Linked DNA regions of Macaca mulatta. The protein of the gene in region 5 purifies or fractionates together with the protein of the main gene of each other region. This does not show direct contact. Links are inferred from orthologs where the notes say so. Each region holds a gene or a part of one and is shown on either strand. Other genes may lie near its edges. The genes, in order: PRMT5, TOP2B, SS18L1, CREB1, SMARCA4, BAZ1B and HNRNPC.

Region 1 (4,194 bases), on a different chromosome or scaffold from region 5:
GACTCACCCACTGCAATCCTCTTACTATAGTCACACAAAGTCCGGAAGTTGTGCCACCTGTTCAGAGTCAAATACAGAAAAGTACAGTCAACTAGATACGGCCGACCAATCACCATAGCTCAAGGAGACCTCCCTATAGGTTTCACCCTGTACTTCCCCTCACCCTATCACAGCAGCAAAGGGAGACATACCACATCCATGTTTTCTCCTCCCCACTGTACTCCTCTGTGTGTGTAGTTGGTGCATTCTCAATTATATCATCTCTCAGGTCCTCTGGTGCCACCAAGGGTACCCGCATCCAGAACTGCACATGAACAGTCACCCTTTTAGAACACCCTTTTGAACTCACTCGGTCCAGAAAGTTTCCCTCAATCAAAAACTTCATTCAGACCTCGCTAATCCCTTTATATGCTTTTCCCAATTTGTGATTTTGTAAGTGAACATGTACCTTATGTATAGATCCTTATGTAAATATCTGCCTTATCTTACGTAAGTTTCCGAAATAATTACATTTGCATGTTTTGAAACTCTCTTCATACCACTTTTAGATGGAGAGGTGCGCAATATTGACCTTTTTTTTGAGACAAGGTCTGGCTCTGTCACCCAGGCTGGAGTGCAGTGGTGCAATCTCAGCTAACTGCAACCTCCGTCTCACAGGTTCAAGTCATTCTCCCACCTCAGCTTCCCAAGTAGCTGGGACTACAGGCGTGTGACACCACACCTAGCTAATCTGTGTTTTTTTGTTTTGGTTTTGGTTTTTGTAGAGACAGGGTTTCACCAGGCTTCCCAAGCTGGTCTCGAACTTCTGAGCTCAGCGATCTGCCCACCTCAGCCTCCCAAAGTGCTGGGATTACAGGCATGAGCCACTGTGCCCGGCAATACTGATACTTCAATTCTGCCAAACACACCCTTCACTGAATGGCTAGGCACAAGAAGGTACTTAGCACAATCTGACTACTATGATATGCAGCAGGAAAGGAGCCCCTCAGCTATACCATAGAAGAGTGATGGCCAGTGTGGATGTGGTTGGTCAAAACTCTGGCCAGGTTGGTGTTATCTTCCTGATTAAGGGGCAGCAGGAAAGCTGGAAGACCCAAATATGCACCAAAATTCAGCTCCTGTAACATGGCCTGGAATGGAGATGAAGAGGAAAAGGTTGAGCTAACAAGCAAATAGCTTTCTTTTCTTTTCTTTTCTTTTTTTTTTTTTTTTTTGAGACAAAGTCTCACTCTGTCACCCAGGCTGGAGTACAGTGGCACAATCTCCACTCATCTGCAGCCTCAACCTTCCCAAGCTCAACTGATCCTCCCACCTCAGCCTCCTGAGTAGCTGGGACCACAGGAATGTGCCACCATGCCTGGCTAATTTTTGTATATTTTATAGAGATGGGGTTTCACTATGCTGCCCAGGCTGGTCTCAAACTCCTGAGCTCCAGTGATCCTACAACCTCAGCCTCCCAAAGTGATAGGATCATAGGTGTGCACCATGGGGTCCAGCCTAATAGCTTTAATTTCATTGTATCAGTTGATTTACCAAGTTATTGGGGGTGGGAGGGGACCACTCTCCCTACCCAGCTTGGTTAGAAAGATCCAGCATAGAAGTCAAAGAGTCTTACCGCCTCGGAGTTCCTGCGAATCTTCTCCACTTTTGAGTCTGGACGAATCCATGGAGAAAGCTTTCCCACAATTAGCGTATTCCAGTCTGCACTCCCCCACCCAAGAGAGACAAATACTGAATAAGGTTCAGCACTTTACTTGTTCAATTTTTAGTTTTGGGAATCAAGAGTAGAAATGAGAGACAAAGGTTTTTTCTACATAGACATGGGATAGCCTGATGCAGAATAGAGAAGCAAGGAGAAAACAAGTTATCTATATCCCAGGGACTAACAAATATATCCAAGTCAGAAAAGGAGAAGAATCGGGGCCCCGATAAAGCAGAAGTTGTTATTGCCTCTAATAATTAAGGGGCATATGGGATGGTCCCTACCCCTTCCTGACAGCAGTAGGTCTGATCGTGTCTGGGGGCCGGGCCGATTCTTAGCAGGTTCCTGAATGAACTCCCTCTTGAAACGCGGATGGAAGACAGGCATGCAGAGGAAATCAAACCTACAACCGCGACAGACCCAGAATCATGTAAAGAGAGCAGCAGTGCCAGAAAGCCAAGCAACTGGATTTAGGCTATTTTGATTTTGCACAGCCCTTTCAGCTGCCATCAGTTCACCCTACTAGGCTGCTGAGTTCAGACCACCTTGGGGGATATCTCTGCTGTACTGTGCCTCAGTTTCTCCCCAAAACACAGCCATGGGAAATATGAGTAAGGAGAAAACGATGGAAATCCACAAGTAGAATTTTTTTCTCCTCAGGTGTCACTATGTTTCGAAGACCATCACATCCAGATTTGCCCCAGTTCTGCCCGTGCCTCCCCTGTCAAGATTAGCCTCTTCTCTCCCTTGCCCCCTAACACCTCCTCCCACTCCCAGACAATAATCGCGACCTCCAGAGCCCTTTAGAGTTTACTCAACAACTCTCCCAACTTTGGGACTCAGTGACCACAGGCCCCCCACAAGTTCTCTTCCTCACGTTACTGGGTCCGAGGCTTCTCCCCTCCAAAGAGTAATAGTCTCTCCCCTTCTCATCTTAGCCGACCCCCTCACCCCAGTTTCTCCGGGATGACTAGTCTGCCCTTCTCCGTCCCCGAGTTCAGACCCCGCATTCCGCTCGTGGAGGTCCGGCCCTCACCCCTGCTTGGCCACAGCCCCTAGTGTGTCAGCTATTTCGGGGACGCAATTCAGGTCCCTCCCGCTGGACACGCGGCTCCCACCAGCACCCCCGACCGCCATCGCCGCCATCTTTTTCCTCGCGCTGTCCATGCCGGGATTCCTTGATACTAGTAGCCAATCACAAAGCCAAACTAGAGACCCAGGAGGCGGGACGAGTCGCCTTAACAACCAGAGCGTCTGCCACAGCTCCCGAACGGGAGGGATGGGGAGTGGCTTTTCCCGCCAATCCGCGGGCTGCGCAGTGGCGTACGGCGAGGCTCCTGAAGATCCACCAATCTCAGAGTCTGGTTTCAGACGAACTTCAATCTCCCAGAATGCTTAGTGTATCTGCAGAACTCCGCTATGAGACTACACCTCCCATGAAACCCTGCAGTACAACCTTGAAGGAGGATCACGGAGAAAATCACTTTCGTCTCAGGGCCAGTGGCGCAATGGATAACGCGTCTGACTACGGATCAGAAGATTCCAGGTTCGACTCCTGGCTGGCTCGGTGGGGCTGTTCACAATTTTACTTTATGAGCATTTTCTGATTTTCCTTACCTTTCGTCGTTTGAAGCTTCTTTATTATCTTAACGCTTTCATTTTCAGGTCCTAAGTTGGTTGGGTTCTGCAGCCATCTAATGTCAGCTTTTCCCATAACTACCTTCAAAAGTGTTTTCCTTGTGTCATTATTTACGTCCATATGAACATTGAGAAAACTGGGTTAATGGCTGGTGCTATTAAAATGGGCTTTGTCACCTTATTATGTTACATATTAAAATAAACTGCTAACTCAGCTACTTCCTAGTGATTCTAGGAAGTAGTGTTTTGTGTTTCAAACACAAAAGGTTTGAATAAACGCCTAAACACACACACACACACACACACACACACACACACACACTTCAAGATAGAGAAAAGGAATTCATGAATTACAGTGGGCAGCAGTCATGAAACTGGCTGGCGTGGAGGCCAGAGAGAATCTACATTTTCCCATGTCAATAGCTGCTAGAGAGATGGAAAGGAAGGAAGCAAGGAAAGACATAGGGGAGGGAAATGGGAACTTCTGAAGGCAGGGGGCCCACTGGTGTTGAGGCAGCTCGGCAACAAGGATGGAGAGGAGAACACGGTACAAGAGGCCCCACGCAGGCGCTGCTGGCAGAACTTAGGGACCGACTGGCAGGGAGTCCTGAGAAAGCAGTCGGGGTGATGCCTAGGATTCTGTCCCTGCAGTGAGCGAGAAATGCGAAGAGGGTTTGGGAAATCAGGGTTTGGGTTTAGTCATGCTGAATTGAACGTCTAGGGGGCGCTGTGTAATAGAAAGTTGGATGAAGAGTGATCTGAACCAGATGAGATGGAGGTCGCCAGAAGAAAGAACTGAGGTCATGAGACTGAGATCACCATAGCTCGTTGGGGACAGAGCCATAGGAAATACG
Region 2 (3,753 bases), on a different chromosome or scaffold from region 5:
GATTGCAGATTGGTTTTACTAAACCCTAGTTACCTGAGAGATCAAAACCTTCATAAGAACAAATTTAATTGGTGTATATACTTTTTGTTTCCTATATTTTTTTTGTATGGAATTTTTAAGGTTATTTAATTTATTCACGGTCATTTTTTAATACACACATCTATACATTTAGACATATTTGGTACATGTTCCATATGTATAGATACTCATTTTTGACAGTGTGTCAAAAGAGTTGTATAAACATATTTATTTACATCCAAGTAGCTATTTTAAAAGTTTGTGCTATGGTGTTAGGGAAGAACGGATTGATTAAACTAATTTGCATGCAAAAGTAAACTGAAGGTAAGCCTGTCTGCCTTTTGAATTAGTCTTCAATAATTTATTTTAAAATAGGAATACTTACTATTCTTTTAGATGTAAACATTGTTACTGATATTCCTGAAATGGTTAATAGTATTATTTATGTAGGTACTAAAATAATCCAGTGGAACATTTTCATATCTCATTTTAAAATAAATTGTCAGCATGTATTTTTGAATTGGTCAGTTATGTTTTAAATATTTAACATTTAGTACTTTTAATTTTTACTACTTTATGCACTTCTGTGTTATTTCACCACAGAGTTAACATTTTTGGTGTATAACTGATATGTTTTATTTTCTGCTGTTTGTATATTGTGGATTATCTGGTCACATAATAGTAACATAAGATCAATTGTCTAGCTAAAGAGAAGTCATCAGTTAAGAGTCAAAGTTTACTGAGAGATCTTTATAATATCTCTTTACTAAAAGAAGGCTTTGCAATTTTTAGATTCAGCTAAATTTGACAGTAATGAAGAAGATTCTGCTTCTGTTTTCTCACCATCATTTGGTCTGAAACAGATAGATAAAGTTCCAAGTAAAACAGTAGCTGCTAAAAAGGGTATGTACTTATATTTGATTGAGTTAAGCATTGCATAGAGATAGTTAATGTAAAAGGAAATGTAACTTAATTTCAAACTATTTGCATTTTTTATCATAAAACAATTAAGAACTATAAGTGCTTACAAGGAGAACCTCTCTTGTTTTCTAACCATGTGAGGCAATTAATAAAATTCTAACCATGTGAGGGAATTAATAAAATTTCTTTAAGACTTCATTTTAAAGCTGTTGTAATTATAAAATAATCCCATACATTGATATCTAAAGATAGCTTTCTAGAAAAGCTCCCTTGTGGTTAGGTTGTAATGGAGATTAAAATTTTGTCTTGCTAGTAGCCTGCTTCTGTTATCTTTGTTGATCATTACTCAACTCCTTATGTGGAGGGATTGATCAGTTCAGTGGAGGTCCTCTTTTTCTATGTGAGTCATGCAGCTTCTCTCTTTTTCATAGCCTTAGATTGGCCACAAAACACTTTGAGTTGATTAATGGATCTCTTACTAGTACCAAGATATATGTACCTTGGTCTTTCTGAAAGGGGTCAGTATTTGTGCTTTGTGTTTGAAGGATGATACTTAAAAAAAAACCCCACAAATCTAATTGAGATGTGTGCTACTTAAGATAGCAAGTAAATAATATGGATTGTTCCCTCAAGGATTTTAAAAATTCACAACAGACAACCTCATTACAGTCACACATGTATTGAATGTAGTAGAACAATTTTGGAAAGTCCTGCTTACTCTGACTGCACTAGAACCATATTGAGAAATTGGTTATGTACAAGAGTCTCTGTAGCCAACACACTGAGTGACCTACTCATGTCCCAGTGCCCTTACCACTTAGTGCACATTGGGCAATGTCTGCATTCTTTGCCTGAGGACTTCCTCTTTGCCACTGTGCTGGAATATTAATGCTCCCCTGCTCCCAGCTGCCTTTAACTAGTGGATTGAGGAAAGTTGTTCTGTAAATATCTCAGTGTCCTTGCCTCTCATGTGAGCCAACTGTGAGATGTGTGTTTCACACTGGCTCTCAAAAATTTCTCGTGGAATTAAGCTCCTAGAGTGATGATTGGCTTGATAACTTACCCATTACTGGCTGCCTTCTCTTCGTTGTCTCATTTTTGTCTCCCTTTCCTTTACCTCTCAAATAAATACTTATACTTAAATCCTTACTCTAGGATTAGGCAGATTGGCCCAAATCTGGGGAACCCAAATTGAGATAGACCCTCTAATTTCTCTTTTTTTTAAAAAAAACAGTCAGGCTGGGTGCAGTGGCTCATACCTGTAACCCTAGAACTTTGGGAGGTCGAGGCAGGGAGATCACTTGAGTTCAGGAGTTTGAGACCAGCCTGGCCAACATGGCGAAACCCCATCTCTACTAAAAATACAAAAATTAGCCTGGTGTGGTGGCACGTGCATGCCTGTAGTCCCAGCTACTCAGGAAGCTGAGGCACAAGAATCGCTTGAACTCGGGAGGCAGAGGTTGCAGTGAGCTGAGATGGCAACACTGCACTCCAGCTGGGACGGTAGAGTGAGACTCCATCTCAAATAACAGAACAATCAAAAAACATCTTTTTAAAATAATCTTCATATGAGCATCTTATAAACACCCTGAAAACTTAGGAGCCATATTACTTATTGAAACATACCCCGTTTCCTTCATAGAACTGTTCACCCATATTGAACCTAATGAGTTTAGCATGACTAAAAGGCTAGAATATCATGGCACCTATTCTACTTGCTTCCTTCTTTAATAGCTGAACTGGCCTTGTCTAAGTTGAATAGGTGACTGCCTGTGTGGTGTGATTTCAGGGACCCCAGCAAGTCCTCGACCTTCCTCTAGTCTCCCTTACAAAATACAATTCCAATTAAAATATCATTTCAAGAAGAGGATGCATGACATCCCTCTGTGGGATTGTCTGCGTTAACTCCAAATTGCATATATTATACAAGTTAAATTCTGTAGTTTACAGCAGAAAGGCAGCTGTAGTACTCAGATATCTGACCTGTTTGCCTGGTAAATTGAAAGTGCCATGTAACTCCAAGCAAAGGAAAAAAAGTGGTTCCTAGAACACCTGGCTGAGTTTATACTCCCTGCCGGGAGCTGCCCTGTGGTTCTTGTGGTAGATATAGTCATGAAAAACCACACAATATGGGTGCCACTTTCCTAGGGCTCCTCCTGCTCTTGGCTCATGATCTTGATCTTGGCTCACAGCAACCTCCCTTGCCTGGGTTAAAGCGATTCCCCTACCTCATCCTCCCAAGTAGCTGGGACTACAGGCGCACGCTACCTCATTGGGCTAATTTTTTGTATTTTTAGTAGAGATGGGGTTTCACCATGTTGGGTAGGCTGGTCTCAAACTCCTGACTCCAGGTAATCTGCCTGCCTTGGCCTCCCAAAGTGCTGGGATTACAGGTGTGAGCCATTGCAACTGGCCTGATTTATCAGTTTTCACATAGAACTGCAGATAAAGCTGTAAAACAAGGTCTATTTTTCAAAATTCAACAAAGCAAAGGCCTTGTATCTATTGTCTACTTATCTAGGACTTTATATTTCTTTCCATATAAAAATGCCAACTCTGGATTTCAGCTTTTGAATGGAAGTGAGTTGGTTTCTATTCATTGTATTTGAGGATCCCATACATTTTTTTTTTCTCTAAAACATTCTAAAAGGACTTGATCTGTGGTTATACTTGGGTTATAATTAATTTATCAAATATGCTACTCTTTTGTCATGACTATATTTAAAAGTTACTGCTTAATTTATTTTTAATGGCTCTTCCTTAAAATGTCTTAATTGTATTACCTAAGGGCAAATTATACATAATTAAATAAAA
Region 3 (3,677 bases), on a different chromosome or scaffold from region 5:
AGTGGTTCTCATATGGAGACAATTTTGCCCTGGGGGGCATCTGGCAATGTCTGGAGCCATTTTAAATTGTCAGACTGGGCAACGGGGGTGCTACTGGCATCGTGGGTGGAGGCCAGGGATGCTGCAAACATAACACCGTGTGCACGACGGCCCCTAGGAGACGCCCAACGCCGGCAGTGCTGTGCCAAAACGCCATGGCCAGTTACACTTGATTCTGACTAAAGACTATGTTATGTTAATATTCTGCAGTTAGATGGACACATTTCCCCCTAAATGTGGAATTCTCTGTCTTCTCCATTGCTTTGTGTCTTTTCTTTTCTTTGTTTTGAGATGGAGTCTCGCTCTGTCACTCAGGCGGGAGTGCAGTGGCGCGATCTCAGCTCACCTCTGCCTTCCCAGTTCAAGCGATTCTCCCACCTCAGCTTCCCGAGTAGCTGGGCTTACAGGCACCCTGCTAATTTTTGTATTTTTAGCAGAGATGGGGTTTTACCATGCTGGCCAGGCTGGTCTCGAACTCCTGACTGCAGGTGATCTACCAGCCTCAGCTTCCCAAAGTGCTGGGATTACAGGTGTAAGCCACCATACCTGGCCTTTCTTTTTCGTTGTTTTAAGACAAAGTCTTGCTCTCTATAGTCCAGGCTGGAGTGCAATGGTGCAGTCACGGCTCACTACAGCCTCGAACTCCTGGGCTCAAGGGATCCTCCTGCCTCAGCTTTCCAAGTAGCTGGGATTATAGGTATGCACCACCATGCCCGACTACTTTTTTTATTTTTTGTAGAGACAGGTCTCGCTATGTTGCCCAGGCTGGTCTCAAACTCCTGGGCTCTAGCAATCCTCCTGCCTTGGCCTCCCAAAGTGCTGGAATTACAGGTATGGGCCACCACAACCAGTCACGGTCCTTTCATAGGTAGGCATAAAGTTATATGTCCTCTGGTTCAGTCTTATAATTAAGTTAGGACATTCACTTATTTCACAAAATCCAAGTAAGTTATTTTCAGGACTGTATGAAGGAGGTATAGTGTCTCGTCAGAATCATTAATTCTAATTTGGATGCAGACTGCTGTCCTTCCAGACCCCAGCATGACGCTCCTGTGCAAGCCTAGAGGGCCAAGCTGGGGCCTGCTCCCCGCTGACCGGCGCCCAGCACACACTGGGGAGAGGCGGCCCCTGGCGTCGGCTGCAGTGGCCTCACGGTGTCCTGAGAGCACACCAGGAGCACTCCTAACGTCTGTGTAAATGCCTCATCGGCGTGCCCTTCCCAGGCATGACCTTCTGAGTACTGTGCCCTGGCAGGGGGCCTGTGTTACATGATCTTTAGGCTTCTCTACATCTACCTGGTGACCCTTTGCCCTCTTGAGGGAGGAGGACGAGAAGCATTTAAAAAATAGTATTCGGCCTCTTACCTACCCAGTTCCCTGAGAAAAACAACCTTGATCGACGTAGTGCTTTGAAATTTCACTGGCGGTGTAAAGTGTCCCTAACACCTCTGGCCAGCTCAGACTCACCAACACAGACCCACTTCCTGCTAAGGACTCTCTCAAAGGAGGCTCCAAAAAATGTCCAAGACCATTCTCCTTCGTATGCCCCATGCTCCAGCTACCGAGCCTCCTTCGGGCTGCCTTCACTGGGACAAACCTCCCGGTGCCTCAGGACCTTGGCACGCCCTCTTCCTGTGCCTGGCTCATTCTCCTCTAGGAGGCCCTCGCTCCTGCAGTGCTCCCGCCACACAGACCCTGTCCTCCTCCAGAGGGAAGGCGATGCCTGCTTTATGGAGGCCCCCACGCCCACCTGTCCCTGTCACCTCCCGCCAAGCCGGCCTCCTCACTGTCCCAAGAGCTCCCGCTCTTCCATCTTCCAAGCTTCTCTTTCCTCAGCTCCTTCAAAGCCCTGCTCACTGTTCCTGGGCAGAAAGGGCTCCCCCTCCCTGGGCTGAGCCTGGGGCTGCCACTCCCCGCTGTGTCTTCATCCTGGAATTGTCCACAGGGGCCAAATGCAGCCGCCTGTGCCCCCACCTGGAAGGCGGGCTCCACTCGGGGCCCGCCACTCTGATCTCAGCACGGTCTGGCCTATGGGACAACTTTATGTCTCCGTAGCGAGATAATAAGCTCTGAAAGCGCAGGGTTCGTGGCACGGCCACACACCAAGCACCCAGCAGAGACCGGACACGTGCCCAGTACGCGACAAACACTGGCAGAGTGAACGAATGTGAGAACCAGGCATGCAGATCTAACGGTGAGCTCAGGGTATGAAAAGCCAGCTGGATGACTGAGGTGAGCATATACACAGAGGTAATTCTGAAAAACCTTACAGGCTCAGAGACTTAACATTCTGGAAGGAACCCTGGAAGCCAGTTAGTTCCAGCTCATTATTCCTCACGGCCATAAGAGAAATCTTCATTATGTCTCCACAGGCGCGGTGGATGGGCACATCTGGAAACATCCAGAAAGCTTGCCTGTTCATAGCCGTAGGGCCGCTGCTGCTGGGCAGACGGCGCTGTCTGCGGTGCTCGGTAGCTTCCGTACTGCTGGCCTTGGCCTTGCTGGTAGCTGGGGTACTGTGACGGGGCTCCCTGGGCAGGCCCTGAGAAAACACCAGGAACTGTGAGGCCAAAACGGGCGCATCTTTATTTTTTTTAACTTAAAAATTTTCTAAAAGCTTCTTCCTCTTTTCCTTAAAAAATTCCTGTCTCAATGCATCAGCCTTTTGTCAATCTCCAGAACGCCTGGCACCTGCACGTGCTCCTCGTTAACTCTGAACAGCGAGAGCACCACACAACCGACTCCCCAGCCCCTCCAGTCCTGTGAGGTCCCAGGACGGTGCCCCAGGCCCCCACCAGCATGGGGAGGGCTGATGGGCTCTCTCCATCTCCCCCGAGCTGCTGCTACCTGAGGGCAGGAGAGCCCTCCAGAACCCACTGGCACCAGTCACACTGGCTGCTGCAACTTGTAACTTAATGATCACAGGAGCTGCTGGAAACCTGCAGGCAGGTGAGACAGAGGCACCGTCTCTAGGAAGCCTAAGTCAAAGGCTCCGGAAAGAACTGATACGATAGAGGCCTTTTTTTTTTTTGAGACGGAGTCTCGCTCTGCCGCCCAGGCTGGAGTGCAATGGCCGGATCTCAGCTCACTGCAAGCTCCGCCTCCTGGGTTTACGCCATTCTCCTGCCTCAGCCTCCCGAGTAGTTGGGACTACAGGCGCCCGCCACCTCGCCCGGCTAGTTTTTTGTATTTTTTAGTAGAGACGGGGTTTCACCGTGTTAGCCAGGATGGTCTCGATCTCCTGACCTCGTGATCCGCCCACCTCGGCCTCCCAAAGTGCTGGGATTACAGGCTTGAGCCACCGCGCCCGGCCTTTTTTTTTTTTTTTAATGACAGGGTCACACTCTGTCACCCAGCCCAGGCTGAAGTGCAGTGGTGTGATCTTGACTCACCGCAACCTCCACCTCCCAGGCTCAAGCGATTCTCCTGCCTCAGCCTCCCAAGTAGCTGAGACCACAGGAGTGTGCCACCATGCCCTGCTAATTTTTGTATTTTTTGTAGAGATGATCTCACTATGTCACCCAAGCTGGTCTCGAACTCCTGGGCTCAAGCAATCCTCCTGCCTCAGCCTCCCAAAGTGCTGGGATTACAGACATGACCCACCACACTGAGCCTCAAGTAATATTTTATTTTTATTTT
Region 4 (3,753 bases), on a different chromosome or scaffold from region 5:
TTGGGAATTATTTCTTAGTAGTGGCGCAAAGAGTGCTGATTCTTTCAACACTTTAGCCAGAATCATCTTTTCTTTTTTGTTTCCCTTTTAGTCCAGAATACATGCTTAGATTGATGATTGATACACATAATTGAATCAAGTTGCAGTGTTTCTGTCTTACACCATAATCACTGTTTCTTTCAGCTGCCTCTGGAGATGTACAGACATACCAGATTCGCACAGCACCCACTAGCACTATTGCCCCTGGAGTTGTTATGGCATCCTCCCCAGCACTTCCTACACAGCCTGCTGAAGAAGCAGCACGAAAGAGAGAGGTTCGTCTAATGAAGAACAGGTACATATACTGCATTTACTTAGATTGTTGTGGGTTAAGTGTGTCTTCACTTTCTACTGGATGTGTATCTTTACATCTACTGGTAATAGGATCTTTGCATTGGGTTTTTTTTTTCCCAGCAGAATTAATGGATCTTGTAAACTTTATTTAATGAGCTGCATTTATAAGATAGCTATAGGATTATGGGTCAATCTTTGATCATGGAGTAGTTTTCTTTCATGCAGTTTCCCCACAGGAGATTTAATGCACAACCTTCCTATGTTTGCACTCCAGCCAGCTTGCCAGGTTATTTCAAAATGGTTTCTTTTCATATATAGTATTGTTCAAGAAGATCAAGAGTTTCACATATGTATATTAACTGTGTGTTAAATTTTATCTATATTAAATTTACTTGATACAAAGTAAATGTATGGTGGCCAGTTCATGTTTTAATGAATAATATCTTTACTCAAAATAATAACATTTTAACACCTAAAGATTCTTCAAAAATATATTCTAAGAATACCACATTATGGAAAAAAATCTTAAAATACAGTCTTCAAAAACTACTACCTTCAAAATCTACGAAATGTTGGTAAAGCAGTTCTCAGAAAGTAACTTCATTGCTATAAATGATTTTGCCATCAAAAACAATAAAAACAAGTTACTAAATATTAGTTTAGAACTTTCATATAGAAGTGACCGAGACAAACAGAAGAAAATGAAAATAGGGTATGTAAAGTTTTAAAAAGTTTGAAATTGATGAAAGTATTTCACTGTTCATCCCAGGATACTTCAAACACTGATAAAGTGAAAGAAGCAGGGCTTCCAAGTCCTAGCCCTGTCCCTCCATTTTGGGAGACAGTATTAACTTTCTATACCTCAGGTTTGCAAAATGGGATTCCAGCACACACCCAAGTATTGTTTTAAGAGTCAAGTAAGATAATTCCTTTGAAAGCACTTTGTAACTGTAGTGCTCTGTTGAAATGGGTGTGTGTGTGTGTCTGTGTGTGTGCAATTTCACTTACAGCTCAGATCAGCTTTTTTGTTCCTAAAATATTCTTAGCTGTCACAATGTTAGTAAATTATATCTGAACTCAGAGAAAAATCTGTCTGGCAGAGATTTTTCTCTGATATTAGAAAAAGAGTTACAACAAGCCAAGTGACTGTTTTTTTTTTTTTTTCCTCCTGAGACAATCTTGCTCTGTCGCCCAGGCTGGAGTACAGTGGCACAATCTCAGCTCACTACAACCTCTGCCTCCTGGGTTCGAGCAGTTCTCCTACCTCAGCCTCCCGAATAGCTAGGATTACAGGCGCCCACCACCACGCCTGGCTAATTTTTGTATTAGTAGAGACATGATTTCACTATTTTGGCCAGGCTGCTCTTGAACTCTTGACCTCATGAATCCACCCTTCTCAGCCTTCCAAAGTGCTGGGATTACAGGCATAAGCCATGGTGCCCAGCCCTCAAGTGACTTTTATTTGTGTTCCATCCGTCTGTGATTTTGAGTATTTAGGTTTTACTAAACAGAAGCATAAAGGCTGCATTCATAATTTAAATATATTTTAAAATATAAATTAAAATCTGTAAATAAAAATTAAAATCTTTTCAGTTTTTAAAAATGTTTATAAGGAAACTCTTTTTTGTTGTTGTTGTTGTTTTGAGACGGAGTCTCGCTCTGTCACCCAGGCTGGAGTACAGTGGCCGGATCTCAGCTCGCTGCAAGCTCCGCCTCCCGGGTTTACGCCATTCCACTGCCTCAGCCTCCCGAGTAGCTGGGACTACAGGCGCCCGCCACCTCGCCCGGCTAATTTTTTGTATTTTTAGTAGAGACGGGGTTTCACCGTGTTAGCCCGGATGGTCTCGATCTGCTGACCTCGTTATCCGCCCGTCTCGGCCTCCCAAAGTGCTGGGATTACAGGCTTGAGCCACCGTGCCCGGCCGGTTATAAGGAAACTCTTAACTTAAAATTAGAAGCAAGTCTGATTAAGAAGTCTCAAGCAAAGGCTGAGTAGTAATATTTAAGACAACACTGCTTACTAAAGAAAACAGTTCTAAGCAAACATAGGAGCAAAATCAGAAAATAAATCCTTTTGATTATAAAACACAACAGAAGGACTTCTGTTTATGTCTATGTAGTTTGGCTCTGTGGAACAAAATGTTTCCCCCCGTTGGCCGGGTGCAGTGGCTCACGCCTGTAATCCCAGCACTTTGGGAGGCCGAAGCGGGCGGATCACAAGATCAGGAGATCGAGACCATCCTAGCTAACATGGTGAAACCCCATCTCTACTAAATACAAAAAAATTAGCCGGGCGTGGTGGCAGGCGCCTGTAGTCCCAGCTACTCTGGAGGCTGAGGCAGGAGAATGGCGTGAACCCAGGAGGCAGAGCTTGCAGTGAGCCGAGATCGGGCGCCTGCACTCCAGCCTGGGCGACAGAGCAAGACTCCATCTCAAAAAAAAAAAAAAAAAAAAAAAAAAGTTTCACTGCGTTGACTGGCAGACCAAATTTCCTTTTTCTTCTATTTATTTTTCTTTCAGATTTAGGACCACTGCCACCAACAAGTTAGGAACAGGCCACACGTAACTACAGTTGCTACCAGCCTTTGCTTGCCTGAGACTTACCATGGACTCTTTCATAACATTACTTCGCTTAGATGTAGTTACCCTACTCTTGAAAAAGGAAACTTCCTATTGATTCTGCTATAGTTCTTTTCCCCTTTCCTTACCAGATTACTGCTGCTTCTACTTTTTCAGCCTCCATTCACTGGAATCTGGCTTCTGTGACTAGCATACCCCTCATATGTCTATAAAAAGGTACAAATTCCCTCCCACTTGGCAAATCTAGTATTTTCTTTCATTTAATTTTAACTCTATGGAGTATGACACTTTCGACTTCTCATTACTCTAAACTCTTCCTTGGCTGGCTTCACCTGGTTTTCTGACTACTTTTCAAATTTTTCCTTTGAACCTTCATCCATATCCATGTATTTCAGGCATTACTTTATATGCTGATACCTCCTAATTCTATATATTCTGGCTTTGACCTTTCTGCCGAGTGCTATTTATTAAGCCCCAGTATATATTATTTTATTAATTCTACCTACAGTGAGGTAGAAGCTTATCCACACTTTAGAGGAGGAGAAGGTAAATATCAGAGATAAATCAAATATATTGCCAAAAGTCACACACTTTATGAGATTAGTAGAACTGAAATTTGAACCCATATCTGGCACCAAAGGCTGTAAACATGCTACTTCACTGATTCCAGTATGCAGCCATCTTCTGCTGTGCCTCTCAAACCAGAGCACATGGCAGTATGCTAGGGATGTGTATGTAGCCTTAGGGGGTGAATGTGGAGTGCTTTCCTTGAATGTTCATTTTGCTAAAATATTTGAGAGAAATAAACCTTATTTTTAAGGTAAAATAAGAGATTTAAAA
Region 5 (3,753 bases):
GAGCAGTGTGAAGGGTAGACCAGCATCCCGGTGAGACATTCTCTGCCGTGATCAGGAATATGGCAGGAGACCCTGAAGGTCCCTGTGGGGCAGTGCTTGTCTGTGAGCGTGGCCCACCTGTGCCTGAGATGTTGCACTTCCTCTGAGAGTGGTCGTGAAGAAAAGGTTCAGGTGACTGGGGTGAAAGGTGCTGGCTTCCTGTCGGAAGGAGATTCTGATGTCCCTTGCTATCCCTGTCCTGCCTCACCCTGGGTCGTGAACCCCAGACTGACTGGGACTTTCTGCCAGCAGGAGGCCACTGTCTGCAGCTCCCGTGAAGATGTCCACTCCAGACCCACCCCTGGGCGGAACTCCTCGGCCGGGTCCTTCCCCGGGCCCTGGCCCTTCCCCTGGAGCCATGCTGGGCCCTAGCCCGGGTCCCTCACCGGGCTCCGCCCACAGCATGATGGGGCCCAGCCCGGGGCCGCCCTCAGCAGGACACCCCATCCCCACCCAGGGGCCTGGAGGGTACCCTCAGGACAACATGCACCAGATGCACAAGGTAGGGGCCCCTGCCCCCTAGGGCTGCAGGCAGCCTCTGGACCGAGGGCCTTACTCAGAGGACGGGGGGGAAGCCTTCTTGTTGGAGGTGGCATGCCTTGGCTCAGCCCCCTACGCCGGGGCCCATGGCCGTGAACAGAGGGGTCAGCTCGTCGGACTCCAGCCTGTGCTGGCACATGATCTGGGCCTGAGCAGCACATCGTGGCCCCTGCGGACACCTGCCCCACCGTTTCCGCTCCCTTGCTTTCTGCGTGGGAAATTTGGGAATATCACTCCAAAGTTTTCTTTTGGTAACGAAGAAAAACATCCAAATTACTAAAAAGGCTTTTAGCCACGTTGTTTCCCCCGTTCTGGCTGTCGAGCTCACCTGTGCCGCTCGCAGAGCCGAGCAGCGGGTGCCCTTTTCTCCAAGGCGCGCCCCTCAGCCACTCTCTTTACCACTCACCTGCGCTGAGCAGGACCTTCAGTCAGCGAGGCGGAGAAGCCTCTGTATGGTCACAAGTCTCTTGTGTGTGTCCCTGGGCATGGTTAGAGGACATATTCTCTTATACATACAACATCTGAAAGAAAAGGTCGTATTAGCATCCATAAGAAAAGTGATGTTTCTAAGTGTCGGGGCCACAGGAGGTCCTGGGTGGTGGAAGATGAGGATTGCCTGGCCACAGTCTCCCAGGTGCTCGTGCTCCACTGGGTGACATTTATTTTGTGTACCTGTCTTGAGGCCTAAGTAGGTGTCAGAACCCTGCCTTAGAGCCAAGCCGTGTAGTAACGCTGGGGACTGGGGAGATGCATGTTGTCATAGGTGGCCATTCTCAGTGCCCTCGAGCTTCTCTTGGGCAGCGCATAGCCGTGCCACCACCTCACGTTCCACATGCTCACCCTGCCTTGTCATGGTCCCTCTCGCAGCCCATGGAGTCCATGCACGAGAAGGGCATGTCGGACGACCCGCGCTACAACCAGATGAAAGGAATGGGGATGCGGTCAGGGGGCCACGCTGGGATGGGGCCCCCGCCCAGCCCCATGGACCAGCACTCCCAAGGTACCAAACTGCTTTCCTTCCTGTCTTGTGTTTGTCATACACCAGAGTCCTCAGATCATTTTCTTCCCCTGGGTTCCCACAGGATGGATTCCGGGAGTACCTAGGATGATTTAGCCAGGTGGGTGGCCTGCCACAGAGGGCTGTCTGGCGTGGCATGGCTGGTGCTCTGTTCTGGCCACCTCGTCTTGGAGCAGCCCCAGAAGGGGAAGTGCTGGTTGGGGGGCAGACCGTATTCAGCATGGGTGATAGAGGACGGCTGTGCAGGGCAGCAGCCCCATGCCACTGAGGAACTTACTGAAAATACAGATTCCTAGGGCCTGGGACTCTGCTTTAATGAGCCCAGCAGGTGCCTTTTCTGTACGAGGACAATTGAGAAGTGATATGGTGGGTGACTTGCCAAGTTCTTGCTGTCATCAGGGGTGGGAAGCTCAGGGGCTCCACTGGGAATGGAAATGTTGGGAGCGGGCCCAGCCAGCCCGAAGATGTGGACCCCACCTGTGGACAAGCAGGCGGAGGCCGGGAGAGAGCCGTGATTTCATGCACAGGTTCTCAGCATTAACCAGCAGCACCTTACTGAGACGTGGGTTAAACCAAATCCACCATGCCGGCTACTGGGCTGAGGTGTCTCCAGCGCGTGCCCTCCAGGTGCCCCTGATTGACTCAAGAAGGATGCCATTTGGTCGTGCCCTGTCTCAGAGTAGGAGCTGGTGTAGGGAAGAAGTTGTAAAAATCACAGACGTAGGCTGCCTAGTGACCAGTGGGCTGGCCTTTCTCTGCAGGTTACCCCTCGCCCCTGGGTGGCTCTGAGCATGCCTCTAGTCCAGTTCCAGCCAGTGGCCCGTCTTCAGGCCCCCAGATGTCTTCCGGACCAGGAGGGGCACCGCTGGATGGTGCTGACCCCCAGGCCTTGGGGCAGCAGAACCGGGGCCCAACCCCATTTAACCAGAACCAGCTGCACCAGCTCAGAGCTCAGATCATGGCCTACAAGATGCTGGCCAGGGGGCAGCCCCTCCCCGACCACCTGCAGATGGCGGTGCAGGGCAAGCGGCCAATGCCTGGGATGCAGCAGCAGATGCCAACGCTACCTCCACCCTCGGTGTCCGCAACAGGACCTGGCCCTGGCCCTGGCCCTGGCCCTGGCCCCGGTCCCGGCCCGGCACCTCCAAATTACAGCAGGCCTCATGGTAAGGCTGGCTGCCCTGGCCCTCAGGTGTCTCAGAGTGAATGGCTGGGGCGTGAGTGGAGGAGTGGACAGACTGGGCTCTGCTGCCAACTGGGTTCCCCGGTTTGGGATTGCACGGGCCCATGCTGCACTTCTGGGTGCTCGGGTGGTGGGGGCAGCTGTCCTGCTAAATGCTGTTTCCCCAGCTCCCTGCTTCCCCTGGGGGTGCTGGTTAATAGGTGTATCTGCTGTGTCCCCTGAAGCCAGGGCTGCCCACGGGGCTGGGCGCAGGCATAAACCTGGGGAGCACTATTTTCTCTTTTGTTTGTTTCTCCCTACGTGTAGGTATGGGAGGGCCCAACATGCCCCCCCCAGGACCCTCAGGCGTGCCCCCTGGGATGCCGGGCCAGCCTCCTGGAGGGCCTCCCAAGCCCTGGCCTGAAGGTGAGCTCCCTCTTCTATGGTGGTGCACCCATGCCCTGACTCCCCGTTGCAAGCTTGGGTGGCGCAGGCCTTGAGATGAGCCCTGGCAGGGAGGAAGGGCCAAGGTGGCCAGCCCGAACCGCAGCCTGCACTTTTCTTGTGGTGGTCCCCAGGTCTCCCCTGTAGCCAGTCAGTTCCCAATGACTGTCATTTTATCCCATCCCTCGTGGCCTTCACCCAGTCCCTGAGCCCTGTATATGTGGTTGCTCAGTAAGTGCTGCAGGCTCCCATCTGGTGGGCTCAAAGAGACAGTGGGACTCATTACCCACCCTCTTGGAGCCTGAGGTTTAGCGATGGGCATTGAAGGGCAAATTGCTTCCGTTGGATTTAGCACTGGGAGGAGACGACAGGAAATGCTGCTGTAGAGCCACAGACAGAACACTGAAGCCTCAGGGGTGTGGGGCTGGCCCCAGTGAAGGGTGTGAGGGACAAGGGTGAGGCTGAGATCTGGAGGAGGTTGGCGCCCAAGGCGGGTGTGAGGGACACCCCTAGGTGAGAGGTGGGAGGTGGGCGGGGTCTGCCTGTCCCC
Region 6 (3,753 bases), on a different chromosome or scaffold from region 5:
GCTGCTTTTTAAAAGTTCAGATTTGATGGTGCCATCAAAGCCCAAAATTTTTAAGTTCTTAAATCTTAAAGGACAGATTACTTAAAGGACAACTTAAAGGACAATCTGAGTTGGTGACTGTGCTAGGGGCTTCAAATATCCTGTCAACCAATTTTACAACAATCTTATCAAGCATATGAGGAAAGTGAGGCACAGGTAAGTAACTTGCCCAAAGGAACATTGTACAGCTAAGTCAGAGCTAGGATCTGAACCCAGGTCAGTCAACTCCCGAGTCCTATGTTGTTTCCACTATGCTTATGTGTAGATTTGGTCCTTTATTGAACCCAGAAAAGATGCCAACATCACACTAACTTATTAACTAATCAGAATGCCAGGCTGAACACTCCAGCTAATATGAAATTATCAATAGAATAAAAAGTAAAATACATACCAATAGGTGCCAGGTTATTACATACAGAAATAAGTAAACAGAGACCCTACCATTACCTCAATAATTTCCTTTCTTTTACTATCTTCTACAGAGTTTCCCCTTTTCTCTCAGCATGAAATTTTACCTTTCATTTCTCTTTCCTGGATTTCCCGTTCCTTCTTAGCTTGAATGGCAAGCAACCTTCTGCTCTTCACAGCACTAATCATGTCTTCAGCTTCTGTATCTACTTGGGGCTCAAACTTCACAATTTCTTTTTTCCTATCAGTTTTGCCTAACCCATTCTCCACTTTTCCATTTTCTTTATTTTTGGCTTCCATTTCTTTCCGTTTCTGTTTCTCTGCTCTCTTCTTATCATTTTCTTCCTTCAACACAGCAAGCCGCTCCTTCCACAACTCTGCAGACATCTGCTGCCTGGTCTCCATGTGGTCTTGCACAGAGTATGTCATGAGGATCCGGTGGCACAGTGCTGTCAAGATCTGTAACTTCTCTTCTGACGTCAGCTCAAAAAATTCAGAGGTCTCCAGCTTTTCTAGGAACTCATCTCGTACCTCATTATCCTCAAATGCAGCTGAATCTTTATTGTCATCTGTGTCTGAGCCCTCGCTTTCCTCCTGAACATCACATCTACGCAAGCAGAGCCGCACCAGCTCTGAAACAGAATGCAGAGTCAAGGGGATTTCCGACAGCTTCATTCCCAATTCACCATAGTCTTCTGCTATCTCATCTTGTAGTAGGGTCTGTAAGAGGATGACCAACACCCTATTAAGGTATAAAAAGCCACCCTTATCTGCACTCAAGGCTTCCATAAGGGACACAGCAGTAATAGGATACTGAGCATCTGGTAAAAGTAGCCCAGAATAACAGCTCAAGAATTCCACCACCATGGCCACATCCCCAAACAGCGTGTTGGGCAGCCCTTCAGGGGTATCCACCAATCTGAATGGTGGAAGGTTTTTGCCAGTTAACTCTTGGTCCTCATACCGCTTCTGTTTTTCTAATCTCTCAAGCATTTCTTTCTCTCTTCGTTCTTTGGCTTTTTCCTTCAACTTCTTTTTCAGTTCCTCCCGTTTCTTTTTCAAATATTCTTTCCGTTGCTCTTCAGACATAGAAGCCCACCTCTTTTTGTGCTCTAGAAGTTCATAGCGTTTTTGAACAAGACTTCGCAATTCTTCTGGGAGACGAGCTCTATCTTCACTAGACAGAAGACGAGCTGTTTTGGAGATAACACAGGACAGGGCGCTCCTCTTGTCCTCCCTGTCTTTATTTTCTTTGTAGTAGGCAATGAGGTGTAGGGCTGCAGGAGGCAGATGTTTATGAGGTTTACTAGAGGACCTAGGTGTACTCCCAGAATTCCGTGGGGTTCGCGTCATCTTCTGTGTACCTTTGGCCATATCCAACAGAGTCATCTGCTTCATTTTGGTTTTAGGAGTCTTCAGTCCCTTTTTGGGAGATTTGGAATTCCCTGTGGATTTCTGTCCATTCAGGATGCCTTTGCTTCTGCCCTTTGCCTTCAAAGGCTTGTCACTGTGCTTTCCTGGTTTCTTGGCAGGTGGGCCTTTTTTAGGAATGTGAAAGTTAGCGTGCAGCTTATTGGGCGACATCATCTTCATCATTTCTTCTAGATGTTCTTCAGGAGATTTGGAATTCTTTGAGTTCTTCACTTTGAGTGGCGAGCCACTCAACGACTTCTTCAAGTGTACGTGACACCATAACTTAGGATTTAGTGGTGAACTAAGAGAAGAGTTGTCTGTCTTGGATTTCTTTGAGGGCTTCCTGTCTGGGGATCCAGTATTCTTCCTCTTAGTAGAAGGGTTGAGAGTCATATACTAGAATTTAAGAATAGGAGCAAAATTAATTTTAAAATCTAAAACTAACTTAAGCAACATTTAAGCATCTTAAAGGCCCTCTTCCCCAGCTATTCAGGTAAAGCTACATATTCATATCTCTTCATAGATACTTTGGCCCTGAAAAAAGCAAAGACATGAACGTTAGCTAAGGTTTTTTACTATGTCAACACAAAATTCCCTTGACATCCAGACTTAATATTAGACATTTCTGCTATGTAACTAGTTCTCTGTTTATATATATTAATGGTTCTTAAATATTTAAACAAAATCTGTGAACCCCTCCACCAGAAATATTAGACAAAAACTACGCATACAATTTCAGAGAATCCATCCATGGACCCCAGATTAAGGATATATGATCTACAAAATGGCAGTATCTGAAAAGTTTAAAATGCACTGTTCTTGAAACAAGAATGAATTTTCATCCTTTCACTGTTGGTTACTATTCAGGGCATTTTACGCTTTTAAGCAGAAATGATACTGCTTAAAGTACTTTTGTCTAAACTCTAAGGCACATTTTCTGATAAAAGCAACAATTAGTGTAAGAACATGAACACTGCTCACAGATAAAGACACCTCCTGACCTGGGCCTCAAACTCCCCTTTGTTCTCACCCCACAGTTTTTTTTTTTTTTGAGACGGAGTTTCGCTCTTTTTGCCCAGGCTGGAATACAATGGCGCGATCTCGGCTAACCACTACCTCCGCCTCCCAGGTTCAAGTGATTCTCCTGCCTCAGCCTCCTGAGTAGCTGGGATTACAGGCATGCGCCACCATGCCACATTACTTGGCCACCCCACACTTTTAAGAACACATTCTGGTGGGCGCGGTGGCTCACGCCCGTAATCCCAGCACTCTGGGAGGCCAAGGCAGGTGGATCACTTGAGGTCAGGAGTTGGAGACCAGCCTGGCCAACATGGTGAAATCCTGTCTCTACCAAAAATGCAAAAATTAGCCAGGTGTAGTGGCGCATGCCTGTCACCCCAGCTACGCAGGAGGCTGAGGCTCGAGATCACTTGAACCCAGGAGGAGGAGGTTGCAGTGAGTCAGGATCACGTCACTGCACTCCAGCCTGGAGGACAGAGCAAGACCCCCGTCTCAAAAAAAAAAAAAGAGAATTCATTCCCATCACCAATTTCACACCATTCTCCTTTGAACATACCCTCTTATCTTCCAAATCCACTCCCTCTAGTCCCGCAACTCTACAGTCCTTCAATCTCACCAGAACCTTAAACCCATTAATTTTATTACATTTTCACCACCCTAACCCCCATGTCTTGCTTTACCCAGATTAAATTTTAGTCAATCATGATAATTAATCTCACATAAACCTATAGTTCCCTTGTCTCTCTTATTCTACTTGGAAAAGCCATAACCCTGATTGATTAACTCTATTTACTCCTGCCCTGCATATGTTCAGCTTAAACATGGCTAAAATAATAGATACAATAAAAGCGAGGGGTCTCAGCCAGGCGCGGT
Region 7 (4,342 bases), on a different chromosome or scaffold from region 5:
TGAGCCAACCTCGCTGGAGGTCGTCACTCAGGATTTCCTTAGGCTGCCGGAAATCCGAAGTCTGGGCGAACCTTTTACTAGGCGCCTTAAGGAGCAGCGATATGCCGGGCGCGGTGGCTCAAGCCTGTAATCCCAGCACTTTGGGAGGCCGAGACGGGCGGATCACGAGGTCAGGAGATCGAGACCATCCTGGCTAACACGGTGAAACCCCGTCTCTACTAAAAAATACAAAAAAAAAACTAGCCGGGCGAGGTGGCGGGCGCCTGTAGTCCCGGCTACTCGGGAGGCTGAGGCAGGAGAATGGCGGGAACCCGGGAGGCGGAGCTTGCAGTGAGCTGAGATCCGGCCACAGCACTCCAGCCTGGGTGACAGAGCGAGACTCCGTCTCAAAAAAAAAAAAAAAAAAAAAAAAAAAAAGGAGCAGCGATAGGACACCGCGGCCGCCAATCAACCTCAACTGGAGGCAGTTGCACTCCAGCCTGGGCGACAGTGACTCTGCCTCAAAAAAAAAAAAGAAAAGAAAAGAAAAAAGAAAAAAAAAAAAAAAAGAAATGGCTCCCTTAGTAGAGCTGATGCTAATCCACTGTGTGCGCAGTTCCTATAATGTAACCAGAAGGACTGGCAGGTGACGGGGGTACGTAGGAGACAAGCCATTTTAAGAGGAGGGAAATTAAGGGAGCAGATTCGGAGGGATGGGCCAATTTTACTGGCACTTAAGATATTAGTGAGATGACTTGGGCCAGAGGCCGGGATTTTGCACTTCATTTACTTTTCATATTGGAGAGGAATAAGGAAGTCAGTTGGTTTGGATGGAATATGTGTTGTCTGAAGAAGGGTTTAATAGGCTGAGAAGCAGAGATGTCTACGAGGTAGCTGACATTCGAATCTGGACCTGAGAAAGGCTCTCGGGTTGGAAAAACGGCAGGGCTGGTTAGTTTTCTACACACTTTAACACGGCCTAGTCACCGCTGCTCCCTCCTCATTTTAAGTAAAGTTCTTTCTTTATTCATATTGCACGCCGGAGGCTTCATTTCGCGCTTTTTTTCTCCTAGGCCCGGGGCTAGGGCAAGTCCTTTGCGCCCGTCACCTAACAACGCCCCTCAAGCCCTTCCCCGCCCCCGCGCCGCCGGAAATCCGAGGTCTGAGCGAACCTTTTACTAGGCACTCTAAGGAGCAGCGATAGGACACCGCGGCCGCCAATCAGGCCTTCCAGATACCCGGATGTGAGACGGTGCGCGATACAAAGGCGAGTTTCCACCCAGAGGGTCGTCCGGTGCAATAGCCAATAAACATTCCCCAGACGATAAATGACAGGAAAATTAACCAGTTACAAACTAGTTTCTCTCACGCATGTGGAAATTCTTCTGCTTAGTCTAACCCACTGCCAATTGTGACTGGATATCATTGTGAGAAGCGGTTGAACTGTCTAATTAGGAGCGGGAGCGAAAAAACACACAGCCAATAGGAAGATTCTTAGGGATGGGGCGGGGACTAGGCCTTCGCCTCGGCGGCAGAGGAGACTCGGGGGCCATTTTGTGAAGAGACGAAGACTGAGCGGTTGTGGCCGCGCTGCCGACCTCGACCTGCAGTCGGTTTCTTCACGCCGAATCCGGGAGTAGGAGACTCAGAATCGAATCTCTTCTCCCTCCCCCCTCCTGGTAAGTGGAGAGGGCGGACGCAGGGAAGGCGCTGGGTTTTTTGGGAAGCTAGAGGGGGTGTGGGAGAGAATATGAGGGAACCCTTCCCCCTAACTAACCGGGCCCTCATTTATTCTGTTTGTTTTGGGGGATTAGGTCTGAAGCGGGAGGCGGTTTTACAGGCCTCAGCCTCTGCGTAGGTTTAACCTGGTGTCCTCTGGGCCACGATCGCCAGGGAAAATGCCCTTTTTTCGCTCTTCCTGTGTTAACGGCTGCTTTCCTTTCATTTTCTACGACCGCGAGGACTCCGGGATCCTGAAAATGAAGATCGCGATGTTCATTAATATAGTCGAAGTTAACATAGCGCCGATGCCTTCTATTACCTCGGTTCTTCTTACATGTAAAAATTGGGGGAGGGGGAGGGGGAAGGTTACCAAGTAGATGTATCGCGAGCCTTTAAATCCTGGATCGTGCCGCGTGGCCTATGAGAAAGGTTTAACAAAAGATTTAGCATTTTACTGATAACTTTTTATTTTATTCCTCTCTATGAGCAAATAATGGAGCTCGAAGTAGTTATTTTCACTTACGTTTGTAAAAGGAAATATTGTGTATAACTATATTAATAATTACAGCTGACTTTTCATCTGCAGGTTACAAAACACTTGAAATATATAAGTTAGTGGAACTTTGCTTGAGGTAGGTATTAACTCTCTTTCTCAGACAGAAACTGAGGCAAAGTGTTGATTGCTAGGGTCATAATTAAGTCAGTAGCAGAACTACTAAGGAATTTGACCACGAGGTCAGTCGAGTGGTTTTTACCTGGTTAATGGAATACCGGGTTCTAAAAGTACAATATTTGAATCTTTGCAAGAACCTGATGACGGAAACCACGAGGTAACTGGAAATTCCCAAATTGCGCTTAAGAAAAATACTACGAGACTTGAGAATTTGTTGTTAACGTAACTTCCTAAGTGTAAGATGACAAAATTTGACTTTCGGGTTATTCTGATGTTAATTTTCCCGTCCACCTAAACTTGGGCAAAAATTCACAGCTACATTTTATTAAGCAAATATTAACAGTGCTGTTATTTGCTCGGTGCTGAAATTTGATAAAAAACTTGTAAGTTAAAGTTACAGATCTTTAGTGTCACGTTCACTTATCTGGGAAATCGGTTTTTTAAATCCTCACATGAGATTTGGTTATTTTTTACAATCTGTTAATTTCACAAAAACTAAAGCTGTTAAGCACAGTTTAAACCAATTCTGCCGGGTAAGAAATTTATCTGTAAGGCAACCTATTTGATAGGAAGTAAAATAAGGGTCAAAAACATCGCGACCCCTTTAAGTTTAAATATATTATTACAGGAACTTAAAACTAAAGTTTATCATCGTGCTAAACTGTTAGAAATGAGGTAAAGGCAAAAATAGATTAATGGGGAAATCATGTAGTAAAAATGTTGGCAATGAGAAATGTCAGAAGTTAGTATTTAAGAACAGTTGATAATAGCTGAAATTGATTGACAGGCACTTTTCTTTGCCTTTGAGGTGTTAGAAATACGGGTTCCTTCCGATCAGTATGTATATCAGATCAGTATGTATATCAGCGTACCAAAAATTCTTTAATATCAAGAACTGTTTGCCACGGCATTTATATCACAATTCCAGGTGTGTTCTCAACTGGATAGGCATTTAGTAACATTTTCGTATTGGCTAGCGTATTGGCTAGGGGGAAAAGTTGAAGGATGGCCAGGTTGCAGGTTTTCTGACCTTTTTTTCCCCCCATTCGTGTGCCACTCTTGGGAATACTTGGTAGTTGATGTTCCTTCTGTGGAGAATTTAAACAGCTTACGTTTGTAATTAAATCTCTTAGAGGATTTGACATGGCATTCGACCTTGTTTTGGATGGAATGGCAGTGCGACACAAAGAATAAACTCAAATAGCTAGTTGCTCTAATTTTAAAGACTAAGGGGCAAATTATTAAAACTTAATATTAAGTGTTGAATGTGAGGTGTTGAATAGGGAGTAAGTTTGCCTAGGAGGAGAAATAGATTTTAATCCTCCTTGCTTAAATAAGAGGACTTAGACTTTTTTTTTTTTAACTTATTTGAATTTTTAGTTTCTAATTCAAATTTTTCGTTGCCAGAAGACTAAAAACTGTACAGATGCAGTCTTTTTAAAGCAGTTTTTTTTTTTTTTTTTTTTTTGAGACGGAGTCTCACTGTTGCCCCAGGCTGGAGTGCAGTGGCACAATCTCGGTTCACTGCAGCCTCTGCCTCCCGGGTTTGAGCGATTCTCCTGCCTCAGCTTCCCAAGTAGCTGGGATTACAGGCGTGCGCCACCACGCCGGGCTGATTTTTATATTTTTAGTAGAGACGGGGTTTCACCGTGTTGGTCAGGCTGGTCTCACTTCTGAGATCAGGCAATCCTCGTGCCTCCGCCTCCCAAAATGCTGGTATTACGCAGGTGTGAGCCACGGCACCCGGCCCCAGTTTTCTAAATTAGTAGTAGTTACTACTATTCTTAACCACATTATTTCAGTCTTCAAATAATTAGTAGTTGTCTCTGGGGAGCATTATTTGCTCTTAATATGCATATTCTTGTATTCTCATTGGAAATGGGAAGCTTTTGGTTTTGTGTATACTACATTTACTAGAGGATTGGTGAGAACTAGAAAGTTGAGGTGTGGCATAACTACAGGTTTTCT

What was found.
Region 1: the proteins of SMARCA4 (region 5) and PRMT5 purify together in Homo sapiens (affinity purification with western blotting; 3 studies listed by BioGRID, with this or other methods). This does not show direct contact. The link is inferred for Macaca mulatta from reciprocal best matches to the Homo sapiens genes SMARCA4 and PRMT5.
Region 2: the proteins of SMARCA4 (region 5) and TOP2B fractionate together in Homo sapiens (co-fractionation; 3 studies listed by BioGRID, with this or other methods). This does not show direct contact. The link is inferred for Macaca mulatta from reciprocal best matches to the Homo sapiens genes SMARCA4 and TOP2B.
Region 3: the proteins of SMARCA4 (region 5) and SS18L1 purify together in Homo sapiens (affinity purification with mass spectrometry; 3 studies listed by BioGRID and IntAct, with this or other methods). This does not show direct contact. The link is inferred for Macaca mulatta from reciprocal best matches to the Homo sapiens genes SMARCA4 and SS18L1.
Region 4: the proteins of SMARCA4 (region 5) and CREB1 purify together in Homo sapiens (affinity purification with western blotting; 3 studies listed by BioGRID, with this or other methods). This does not show direct contact. The link is inferred for Macaca mulatta from reciprocal best matches to the Homo sapiens genes SMARCA4 and CREB1.
Region 6: the proteins of SMARCA4 (region 5) and BAZ1B fractionate together in Homo sapiens (co-fractionation; 3 studies listed by BioGRID, with this or other methods). This does not show direct contact. The link is inferred for Macaca mulatta from reciprocal best matches to the Homo sapiens genes SMARCA4 and BAZ1B.
Region 7: the proteins of SMARCA4 (region 5) and HNRNPC purify together in Homo sapiens (affinity purification with western blotting; 3 studies listed by BioGRID, with this or other methods). This does not show direct contact. The link is inferred for Macaca mulatta from reciprocal best matches to the Homo sapiens genes SMARCA4 and HNRNPC.

What each region holds. Positions count from the first base shown.
Region 1 is NC_133412.1:96,009,958-96,014,151, forward strand, and holds the start of PRMT5 (protein arginine N-methyltransferase 5), read right to left. Parts: upstream 2,873-4,194; 5' UTR 2,849-2,872; coding exon of another isoform or gene 2,739-2,848; 5' UTR 2,713-2,738; coding exon 2,654-2,712; intron 2,106-2,653; coding exon 1,987-2,105; intron 1,702-1,986; coding exon 1,616-1,701; exon of another isoform or gene 1,534-1,615; intron 1,162-1,533; exon of another isoform or gene 1,131-1,161; coding exon 996-1,130; intron 305-995; coding exon 192-304; coding exon of another isoform or gene 172-191; intron 92-171; coding exon of another isoform or gene 58-91; coding exon 8-57; intron 1-7. UniProt on the Homo sapiens protein: Arginine methyltransferase that can both catalyze the formation of omega-N monomethylarginine (MMA) and symmetrical dimethylarginine (sDMA), with a preference for the formation of MMA.
Region 2 is NC_133407.1:22,870,429-22,874,181, forward strand, and holds part of TOP2B (DNA topoisomerase 2-beta), read left to right. Parts: intron 1-810; coding exon 811-921; intron 922-3,753. UniProt on the Homo sapiens protein: Key decatenating enzyme that alters DNA topology by binding to two double-stranded DNA molecules, generating a double-stranded break in one of the strands, passing the intact strand through the broken strand, and religating the broken strand.
Region 3 is NC_133415.1:114,967,557-114,971,233, reverse strand, and holds the end of SS18L1 (calcium-responsive transactivator), read right to left. Parts: intron 2,581-3,677; coding exon 2,366-2,580; 3' UTR 592-2,365; downstream 1-591. UniProt on the Homo sapiens protein: Transcriptional activator which is required for calcium-dependent dendritic growth and branching in cortical neurons. Recruits CREB-binding protein (CREBBP) to nuclear bodies.
Region 4 is NC_133417.1:112,842,686-112,846,438, forward strand, and holds part of CREB1 (cyclic AMP-responsive element-binding protein 1), read left to right. Parts: intron 1-183; coding exon 184-334; intron 335-3,753.
Region 5 is NC_133424.1:11,723,574-11,727,326, forward strand, and holds part of SMARCA4 (SWI/SNF-related matrix-associated actin-dependent regulator of chromatin subfamily A member 4), read left to right. Parts: intron 1-288; exon of another isoform or gene 289-291; 5' UTR 292-319; coding exon 320-541; intron 542-1,446; coding exon 1,447-1,579; intron 1,580-2,358; coding exon 2,359-2,763; intron 2,764-3,086; coding exon 3,087-3,185; intron 3,186-3,753. UniProt on the Homo sapiens protein: ATPase involved in transcriptional activation and repression of select genes by chromatin remodeling (alteration of DNA-nucleosome topology).
Region 6 is NC_133408.1:50,958,485-50,962,237, forward strand, and holds part of BAZ1B (tyrosine-protein kinase BAZ1B), read right to left. Parts: intron 2,257-3,753; coding exon 555-2,256; intron 1-554. UniProt on the Homo sapiens protein: Atypical tyrosine-protein kinase that plays a central role in chromatin remodeling and acts as a transcription regulator. Involved in DNA damage response by phosphorylating 'Tyr-142' of histone H2AX (H2AXY142ph).
Region 7 is NC_133412.1:94,116,681-94,121,022, reverse strand, and holds the start of HNRNPC (heterogeneous nuclear ribonucleoproteins C1/C2), read left to right. Parts: upstream 1-1,486; 5' UTR 1,487-1,658; intron 1,659-2,287; exon of another isoform or gene 2,288-2,333; intron 2,334-4,342. UniProt on the Homo sapiens protein: Binds pre-mRNA and nucleates the assembly of 40S hnRNP particles. Interacts with poly-U tracts in the 3'-UTR or 5'-UTR of mRNA and modulates the stability and the level of translation of bound mRNA molecules. Single HNRNPC tetramers bind 230-240 nucleotides.